2 linked regions of the Saccharomyces cerevisiae S288C genome follow. The gene in region 1 interacts genetically with each later gene. Each region holds a gene or a part of one and is shown in the gene's direction. Other genes may lie near its edges. The genes, in order: HXT7 and SUC2.

Evidence for each region.
Region 2: mutations in HXT7 (region 1) and SUC2 together harm fitness more than expected from each alone (negative genetic interaction), as found in Saccharomyces cerevisiae (one large-scale study listed by BioGRID).

The regions. Positions count from the first base shown.
Region 1 is NC_001136.10:1,153,681-1,157,996, reverse strand, and holds HXT7 (hexose transporter HXT7), read left to right. Parts: upstream 1-2,068; coding exon 2,069-3,781; downstream 3,782-4,316. UniProt on the Saccharomyces cerevisiae protein: High-affinity glucose transporter.
Region 2 is NC_001141.2:35,541-39,666, forward strand, and holds SUC2 (beta-fructofuranosidase SUC2), read left to right. Parts: upstream 1-1,844; coding exon 1,845-3,443; downstream 3,444-4,126. Other genes in the region: YIL163C (uncharacterized protein), read right to left, coding at 1,359-1,712; SMU2 (Smu2p), read left to right, coding at 3,893-4,126.

The DNA.
Region 1 (4,316 bases):
TTCTAAGATCATTTTTGTGTTCGGTCACCAGCAACACTATATAACGAAATAACAGTTGCCATATTCGTTTTCTGTCTTGTTGAAGCTCAGATTGCTCAAGAAATAAAATAATTACTACATGAGACAAAAAATCTCATGGGAGCAAAATTTTCAACGCATGTTCAGACCATTTTTTTTTGCCGATGAGTGAGTAATCGCCAATGGGTCTTAATCAATTACAGATCTTAAACAGTCGTTTGGTTTTCGATGCTCAAGGGATCGGACCAGCAATAATCGGAAGAAGAGATCAAACAATCGGTCATTAGTCTCAAAGAACATGCAAGCTAACACAATGTTAGTGAGGAAGAGATAAAAGTGTGGGGTGATGGTTGTTCCTTATGTTTATTACAGGAGAACGTTAAGTGAACTCTGAGAACTAACTGCAGCAGCTTGATTCTCCGCCTGTTTACTTGGAAAAGAAATGGGAACAAAAAAGGTACTGCATTTTTTTCCGGTTCTTTTCTCCACCTAGGATGAGGAGTAATTTGCCTTAATGGGGGATTAAATCCGGGGCTTTCCAAAGCGGGACCCATTTAATTCCACCTTCGGATTTTTTTGCATAAACTCTCAATTTCCCCGCGATCCATCTGCCGAATGGTGCACTCTACGGAAAAATACAGTAAGAAAAAAAAAAGTCCTGTAATCTTCAAGTCTTAGATTGACAGGAACGTTAATATTTTTCCTGATCTATGTTTGACAAGTATGGTAATTGATAAAATTACGCATATACTGCCAATAGCCCTAAGTGATAGTAGTCGGAAGAAAACAAAATGGCAAGCAGTTGACAGCAAAAATTGTTAGCGTATCCTATGGGTGGTGGAAAGAAAAGTTTATTAAGCTAGTATTATGTGTTTTTACTTTCTCACGGAAAAATTCTCTAGAAGAAAAGCGATTTTATTTTTTTATTTTTATTATACTTAGCATCTCGAAAAATTTCATTCACACGGTGAAAAGAAATTCCGAATGAATTAAGATCGCATTTAATTTCTTGATGTCTACATTAACAGGCTGCACAAAACAACCCTAGAAAATAGTACTCTCATCGCTAAGATCATTTGGGGTTGTTAAGCATGCCCTGCTAAACACGCCCTACTAAACACTTCAAAAGCAACTTAAAATATTTTTATCTAATTATAGCTAAAACCCAATGTGAAAGACATATCATACTGTAAAAGTGAAAAAGCAGCACCGTTGAACGCCGCAAGAGTGCTCCCATAACGCTTTACTAGAGGGCTAGATTTTAATGGCCCCTTCATGGAGAAGTTATGAGGACAAATCCCACTACAGAAAGCGCAACAAATTTTTTTTTCCGTAACAACAAACATCTCATCTAGTTTCTGCCTTAAACAAAGCCGCAGCCAGAGCCGTTTTTCCGCCATATTTATCCAGGATTGTTCCATACGGCTCCGTCAGAGGCTGCTACGGGATGTTTTTTTTTTACCCCGTGGAAATGAGGGGTATGCAGGAATTTGTGCGGGGTAGGAAATCTTTTTTTTTTTTAGGAGGAACAACTGGTGGAAGAATGCCCACACTTCTCAGAAATGCATGCAGTGGCAGCACGCTAATTCGAAAAAATTCTCCAGAAAGGCAACGCAAAATTTTTTTTCCAGGGAATAAACTTTTTATGACCCACTACTTCTCGTAGGAACAATTTCGGGCCCCTGCGTGTTCTTCTGAGGTTCATCTTTTACATTTGCTTCTGCTGGATAATTTTCAGAGGCAACAAGGAAAAATTAGATGGCAAAAAGTCGTCTTTCAAGGAAAAATCCCCACCATCTTTCGAGATCCCCTGTAACTTATTGGCAACTGAAAGAATGAAAAGGAGGAAAATACAAAATATACTAGAACTGAAAAAAAAAAAGTATAAATAGAGACGATATATGCCAATACTTCACAATGTTCGAATCTATTCTTCATTTGCAGCTATTGTAAAATAATAAAACATCAAGAACAAACAAGCTCAACTTGTCTTTTCTAAGAACAAAGAATAAACACAAAAACAAAAAGTTTTTTTAATTTTAATCAAAAAATGTCACAAGACGCTGCTATTGCAGAGCAAACTCCTGTGGAGCATCTCTCTGCTGTTGACTCAGCCTCCCACTCGGTTTTATCTACACCATCAAACAAGGCTGAAAGAGATGAAATAAAAGCTTATGGTGAAGGTGAAGAGCACGAACCTGTCGTTGAAATTCCAAAGAGACCAGCTTCTGCCTATGTCACTGTCTCTATTATGTGTATCATGATCGCCTTTGGTGGTTTCGTTTTCGGTTGGGATACTGGTACCATTTCTGGTTTCATCAATCAAACCGATTTCATCAGAAGATTTGGTATGAAGCATAAAGATGGTACTAATTATTTGTCTAAGGTTAGAACTGGTTTGATTGTCTCCATTTTCAACATTGGTTGTGCCATTGGTGGTATTATTCTTTCCAAATTGGGTGATATGTACGGTCGTAAGGTGGGTTTGATTGTCGTTGTTGTCATCTACATCATCGGTATTATTATTCAAATTGCATCTATCAACAAATGGTACCAATATTTCATCGGTAGAATTATTTCCGGTTTGGGTGTTGGTGGTATTGCCGTTTTATCTCCTATGTTGATTTCTGAAGTATCCCCAAAGCATTTAAGGGGTACTTTAGTCTCTTGCTACCAATTGATGATTACTGCCGGTATTTTCTTGGGTTACTGTACCAACTTCGGTACTAAGAACTACTCCAACTCTGTGCAATGGAGAGTTCCATTAGGTTTGTGTTTTGCCTGGGCTTTGTTTATGATTGGTGGTATGACATTTGTTCCAGAGTCTCCACGTTATTTGGCTGAAGTCGGTAAGATCGAAGAAGCCAAACGTTCTATTGCCGTTTCTAACAAGGTTGCTGTTGATGATCCATCTGTTTTGGCTGAAGTCGAAGCTGTCTTGGCTGGTGTAGAGGCAGAGAAATTAGCTGGTAATGCATCCTGGGGTGAATTGTTTAGTAGCAAGACAAAGGTCCTTCAGCGTTTGATCATGGGTGCTATGATTCAATCTCTACAACAATTGACAGGTGATAACTATTTCTTCTACTATGGTACTACTATTTTCAAGGCTGTTGGTTTGAGTGACTCTTTCGAAACCTCTATTGTCTTGGGTATTGTTAACTTTGCTTCCACCTTTGTTGGTATTTACGTTGTTGAGAGATATGGTCGTCGTACTTGTTTGCTATGGGGTGCTGCATCCATGACTGCTTGTATGGTTGTCTATGCTTCCGTGGGTGTCACCAGATTATGGCCAAATGGTCAAGACCAACCATCTTCCAAGGGTGCTGGTAACTGTATGATTGTCTTTGCCTGTTTCTATATTTTCTGTTTTGCTACTACATGGGCTCCAATTCCTTATGTCGTTGTTTCTGAAACTTTCCCATTGAGAGTCAAGTCTAAGGCTATGTCTATTGCTACAGCTGCTAATTGGTTGTGGGGTTTCTTGATTGGTTTCTTCACTCCATTTATTACTGGTGCTATTAACTTCTACTACGGTTACGTTTTCATGGGCTGTTTGGTCTTCATGTTCTTCTATGTTTTGTTAGTTGTTCCAGAAACTAAGGGTTTGACTTTGGAAGAAGTCAACACCATGTGGGAAGAAGGTGTTCTACCATGGAAGTCTGCCTCATGGGTTCCACCATCCAGAAGAGGTGCCAACTACGACGCTGAAGAAATGACTCACGATGACAAGCCATTGTACAAGAGAATGTTCAGCACCAAATAATTTGCGAACACTTTTATTAATTCATGATCACGCTCTAATTTGTGCATTTGAAATGTACTCTAATTCTAATTTTATATTTTTAATGATATCTTGAAAAGTAAATACGTTTTTAATATATACAAAATAATACAGTTTAATTTTCAAGTTTTTGATCATTTGTTCTCAGAAAGTTGAGTGGGACGGAGACAAAGAAACTTTAAAGAGAAATGCAAAGTGGGAAGAAGTCAGTTGTTTACCGACCGCACTGTTATTCACAAATATTCCAATTTTGCCTGCAGACCCACGTCTACAAATTTTGGTTAGTTTGGTAAATGGTAAGGATATAGTAGAGCCTTTTTGAAATGGGAAATATCTTCTTTTTCTGTATCCCGCTTCAAAAAGTGTCTAATGAGTCAGTTATTTCTTTCTTACTCATCGCCCGTCACTTAAAAGAAGAAAAATTACTTTCATGATGCGAAGCGAAAAAAATTTTTAGCTTCAATTTTCACAATGCATCTATGGAGAGGATATTATAAGGTTACGAAATAAATTCTTG
Region 2 (4,126 bases), on another chromosome or scaffold:
GTCGCCCTACCTCACAAAAGAGAAGTACTGATGGCTAATAATTGTTGGATCGATTCATTGTATCTCTTAAATGTCAACAGAGCATAAGTCAGACTCTTTGCCATTTTTAAAAAGCTGCGAAGGCGAACGTGACTACGGGGTGCGGGTTTTTGTATTGCTAATGTAGCATGACAGCTTATCCAATGTTTTGTTGTGTTCATTCAAACTATTTTGAGCCTCACTTCAATTTTGTTTGACTACTAACATGGCAGCATGCGTCGTTTCTAGGTGCTAGCCAGGCTGTGAGAACGTAAAATTAGCCTATGTTCAACATTCTCTGCTTTTCAATGTCACTGTTCATTTTGTTACTATGAAAGTAGTTCGTCGCAATTTGTACTTTTCTTCGAAAGTCTTCTTTTGCAGTAGATGAAGTGTGTTCTGAGAAATTGATGCTTTCAAATGGCCTTAAAAAATTTTTGTATCATAGCTAACAACATACTGTTGCGCCAGGGGAAGTGAAATCATGGTTGTATATTACAATAGCATTATGTGCATTTACCAAGTATGGAAAAGCGGAAAGTGTGAAAGAAGTTTATGAAAAAAGCGGAAAATAAAAAAAAAAAGTTTATTTTCCTGTGACTTCTGGGAAGCAGTTAGACCTCCTTCGCTGTATTCTTAGGTGCTATACCTCATTTCCACGATGGTAATAGACGATCAGTCTATTAATGCGCTAAAGAACGTAGAAAAGTTATTAACTGAAGAAGCTTTGCTAATGCCGTCGCACATTAAACGGCTAGACATTGCCTTGAATAGGAAGCCGAATAATCTACGAAATATCATGGAGCTTCAGGGCCTTGCATATACTATAGTAAAAAAAAAACTAAGTTTTCCCCTGTAGTAAACAGGGAGATACCGTACGGAGGTCTGAATTCCCTACAGAAGTAGCTGTAAAAATTCAGAATTCGCAACAACCTATAATTGAGTTAAGTGCCTTTCCAAGCTAAAAAGTTTGAGGTTATAGGGGCTTAGCATCCACACGTCACAATCTCGGGTATCGAGTATAGTATGTAGAATTACGGCAGGAGGTTTCCCAATGAACAAAGGACAGGGGCACGGTGAGCTGTCGAAGGTATCCATTTTATCATGTTTCGTTTGTACAAGCACGACATACTAAGACATTTACCGTATGGGAGTTGTTGTCCTAGCGTAGTTCTCGCTCCCCCAGCAAAGCTCAAAAAAGTACGTCATTTAGAATAGTTTGTGAGCAAATTACCAGTCGGTATGCTACGTTAGAAAGGCCCACAGTATTCTTCTACCAAAGGCGTGCCTTTGTTGAACTCGATCCATTATGAGGGCTTCCATTATTCCCCGCATTTTTATTACTCTGAACAGGAATAAAAAGAAAAAACCCAGTTTAGGAAATTATCCGGGGGCGAAGAAATACGCGTAGCGTTAATCGACCCCACGTCCAGGGTTTTTCCATGGAGGTTTCTGGAAAAACTGACGAGGAATGTGATTATAAATCCCTTTATGTGATGTCTAAGACTTTTAAGGTACGCCCGATGTTTGCCTATTACCATCATAGAGACGTTTCTTTTCGAGGAATGCTTAAACGACTTTGTTTGACAAAAATGTTGCCTAAGGGCTCTATAGTAAACCATTTGGAAGAAAGATTTGACGACTTTTTTTTTTTGGATTTCGATCCTATAATCCTTCCTCCTGAAAAGAAACATATAAATAGATATGTATTATTCTTCAAAACATTCTCTTGTTCTTGTGCTTTTTTTTTACCATATATCTTACTTTTTTTTTTCTCTCAGAGAAACAAGCAAAACAAAAAGCTTTTCTTTTCACTAACGTATATGATGCTTTTGCAAGCTTTCCTTTTCCTTTTGGCTGGTTTTGCAGCCAAAATATCTGCATCAATGACAAACGAAACTAGCGATAGACCTTTGGTCCACTTCACACCCAACAAGGGCTGGATGAATGACCCAAATGGGTTGTGGTACGATGAAAAAGATGCCAAATGGCATCTGTACTTTCAATACAACCCAAATGACACCGTATGGGGTACGCCATTGTTTTGGGGCCATGCTACTTCCGATGATTTGACTAATTGGGAAGATCAACCCATTGCTATCGCTCCCAAGCGTAACGATTCAGGTGCTTTCTCTGGCTCCATGGTGGTTGATTACAACAACACGAGTGGGTTTTTCAATGATACTATTGATCCAAGACAAAGATGCGTTGCGATTTGGACTTATAACACTCCTGAAAGTGAAGAGCAATACATTAGCTATTCTCTTGATGGTGGTTACACTTTTACTGAATACCAAAAGAACCCTGTTTTAGCTGCCAACTCCACTCAATTCAGAGATCCAAAGGTGTTCTGGTATGAACCTTCTCAAAAATGGATTATGACGGCTGCCAAATCACAAGACTACAAAATTGAAATTTACTCCTCTGATGACTTGAAGTCCTGGAAGCTAGAATCTGCATTTGCCAATGAAGGTTTCTTAGGCTACCAATACGAATGTCCAGGTTTGATTGAAGTCCCAACTGAGCAAGATCCTTCCAAATCTTATTGGGTCATGTTTATTTCTATCAACCCAGGTGCACCTGCTGGCGGTTCCTTCAACCAATATTTTGTTGGATCCTTCAATGGTACTCATTTTGAAGCGTTTGACAATCAATCTAGAGTGGTAGATTTTGGTAAGGACTACTATGCCTTGCAAACTTTCTTCAACACTGACCCAACCTACGGTTCAGCATTAGGTATTGCCTGGGCTTCAAACTGGGAGTACAGTGCCTTTGTCCCAACTAACCCATGGAGATCATCCATGTCTTTGGTCCGCAAGTTTTCTTTGAACACTGAATATCAAGCTAATCCAGAGACTGAATTGATCAATTTGAAAGCCGAACCAATATTGAACATTAGTAATGCTGGTCCCTGGTCTCGTTTTGCTACTAACACAACTCTAACTAAGGCCAATTCTTACAATGTCGATTTGAGCAACTCGACTGGTACCCTAGAGTTTGAGTTGGTTTACGCTGTTAACACCACACAAACCATATCCAAATCCGTCTTTGCCGACTTATCACTTTGGTTCAAGGGTTTAGAAGATCCTGAAGAATATTTGAGAATGGGTTTTGAAGTCAGTGCTTCTTCCTTCTTTTTGGACCGTGGTAACTCTAAGGTCAAGTTTGTCAAGGAGAACCCATATTTCACAAACAGAATGTCTGTCAACAACCAACCATTCAAGTCTGAGAACGACCTAAGTTACTATAAAGTGTACGGCCTACTGGATCAAAACATCTTGGAATTGTACTTCAACGATGGAGATGTGGTTTCTACAAATACCTACTTCATGACCACCGGTAACGCTCTAGGATCTGTGAACATGACCACTGGTGTCGATAATTTGTTCTACATTGACAAGTTCCAAGTAAGGGAAGTAAAATAGAGGTTATAAAACTTATTGTCTTTTTTATTTTTTTCAAAAGCCATTCTAAAGGGCTTTAGCTAACGAGTGACGAATGTAAAACTTTATGATTTCAAAGAATACCTCCAAACCATTGAAAATGTATTTTTATTTTTATTTTCTCCCGACCCCAGTTACCTGGAATTTGTTCTTTATGTACTTTATATAAGTATAATTCTCTTAAAAATTTTTACTACTTTGCAATAGACATCATTTTTTCACGTAATAAACCCACAATCGTAATGTAGTTGCCTTACACTACTAGGATGGACCTTTTTGCCTTTATCTGTTTTGTTACTGACACAATGAAACCGGGTAAAGTATTAGTTATGTGAAAATTTAAAAGCATTAAGTAGAAGTATACCATATTGTAAAAAAAAAAAGCGTTGTCTTCTACGTAAAAGTGTTCTCAAAAAGAAGTAGTGAGGGAAATGGATACCAAGCTATCTGTAACAGGAGCTAAAAAATCTCAGGGAAAAGCTTCTGGTTTGGGAAACGAAGGAACTCCAATCGGGAATGAGGAGAGCACAAATAAAGCTAAAAATGGAAATAAAAAGCGGAATAAAAATCGAAACAGAAATAAGAAGACAGAGACAAAGGAACAAAATGAACCTAAACCTGTGACTGGAGGGGAAGAAGTGAGAGTCGAGAAATCTCAAGCGAAA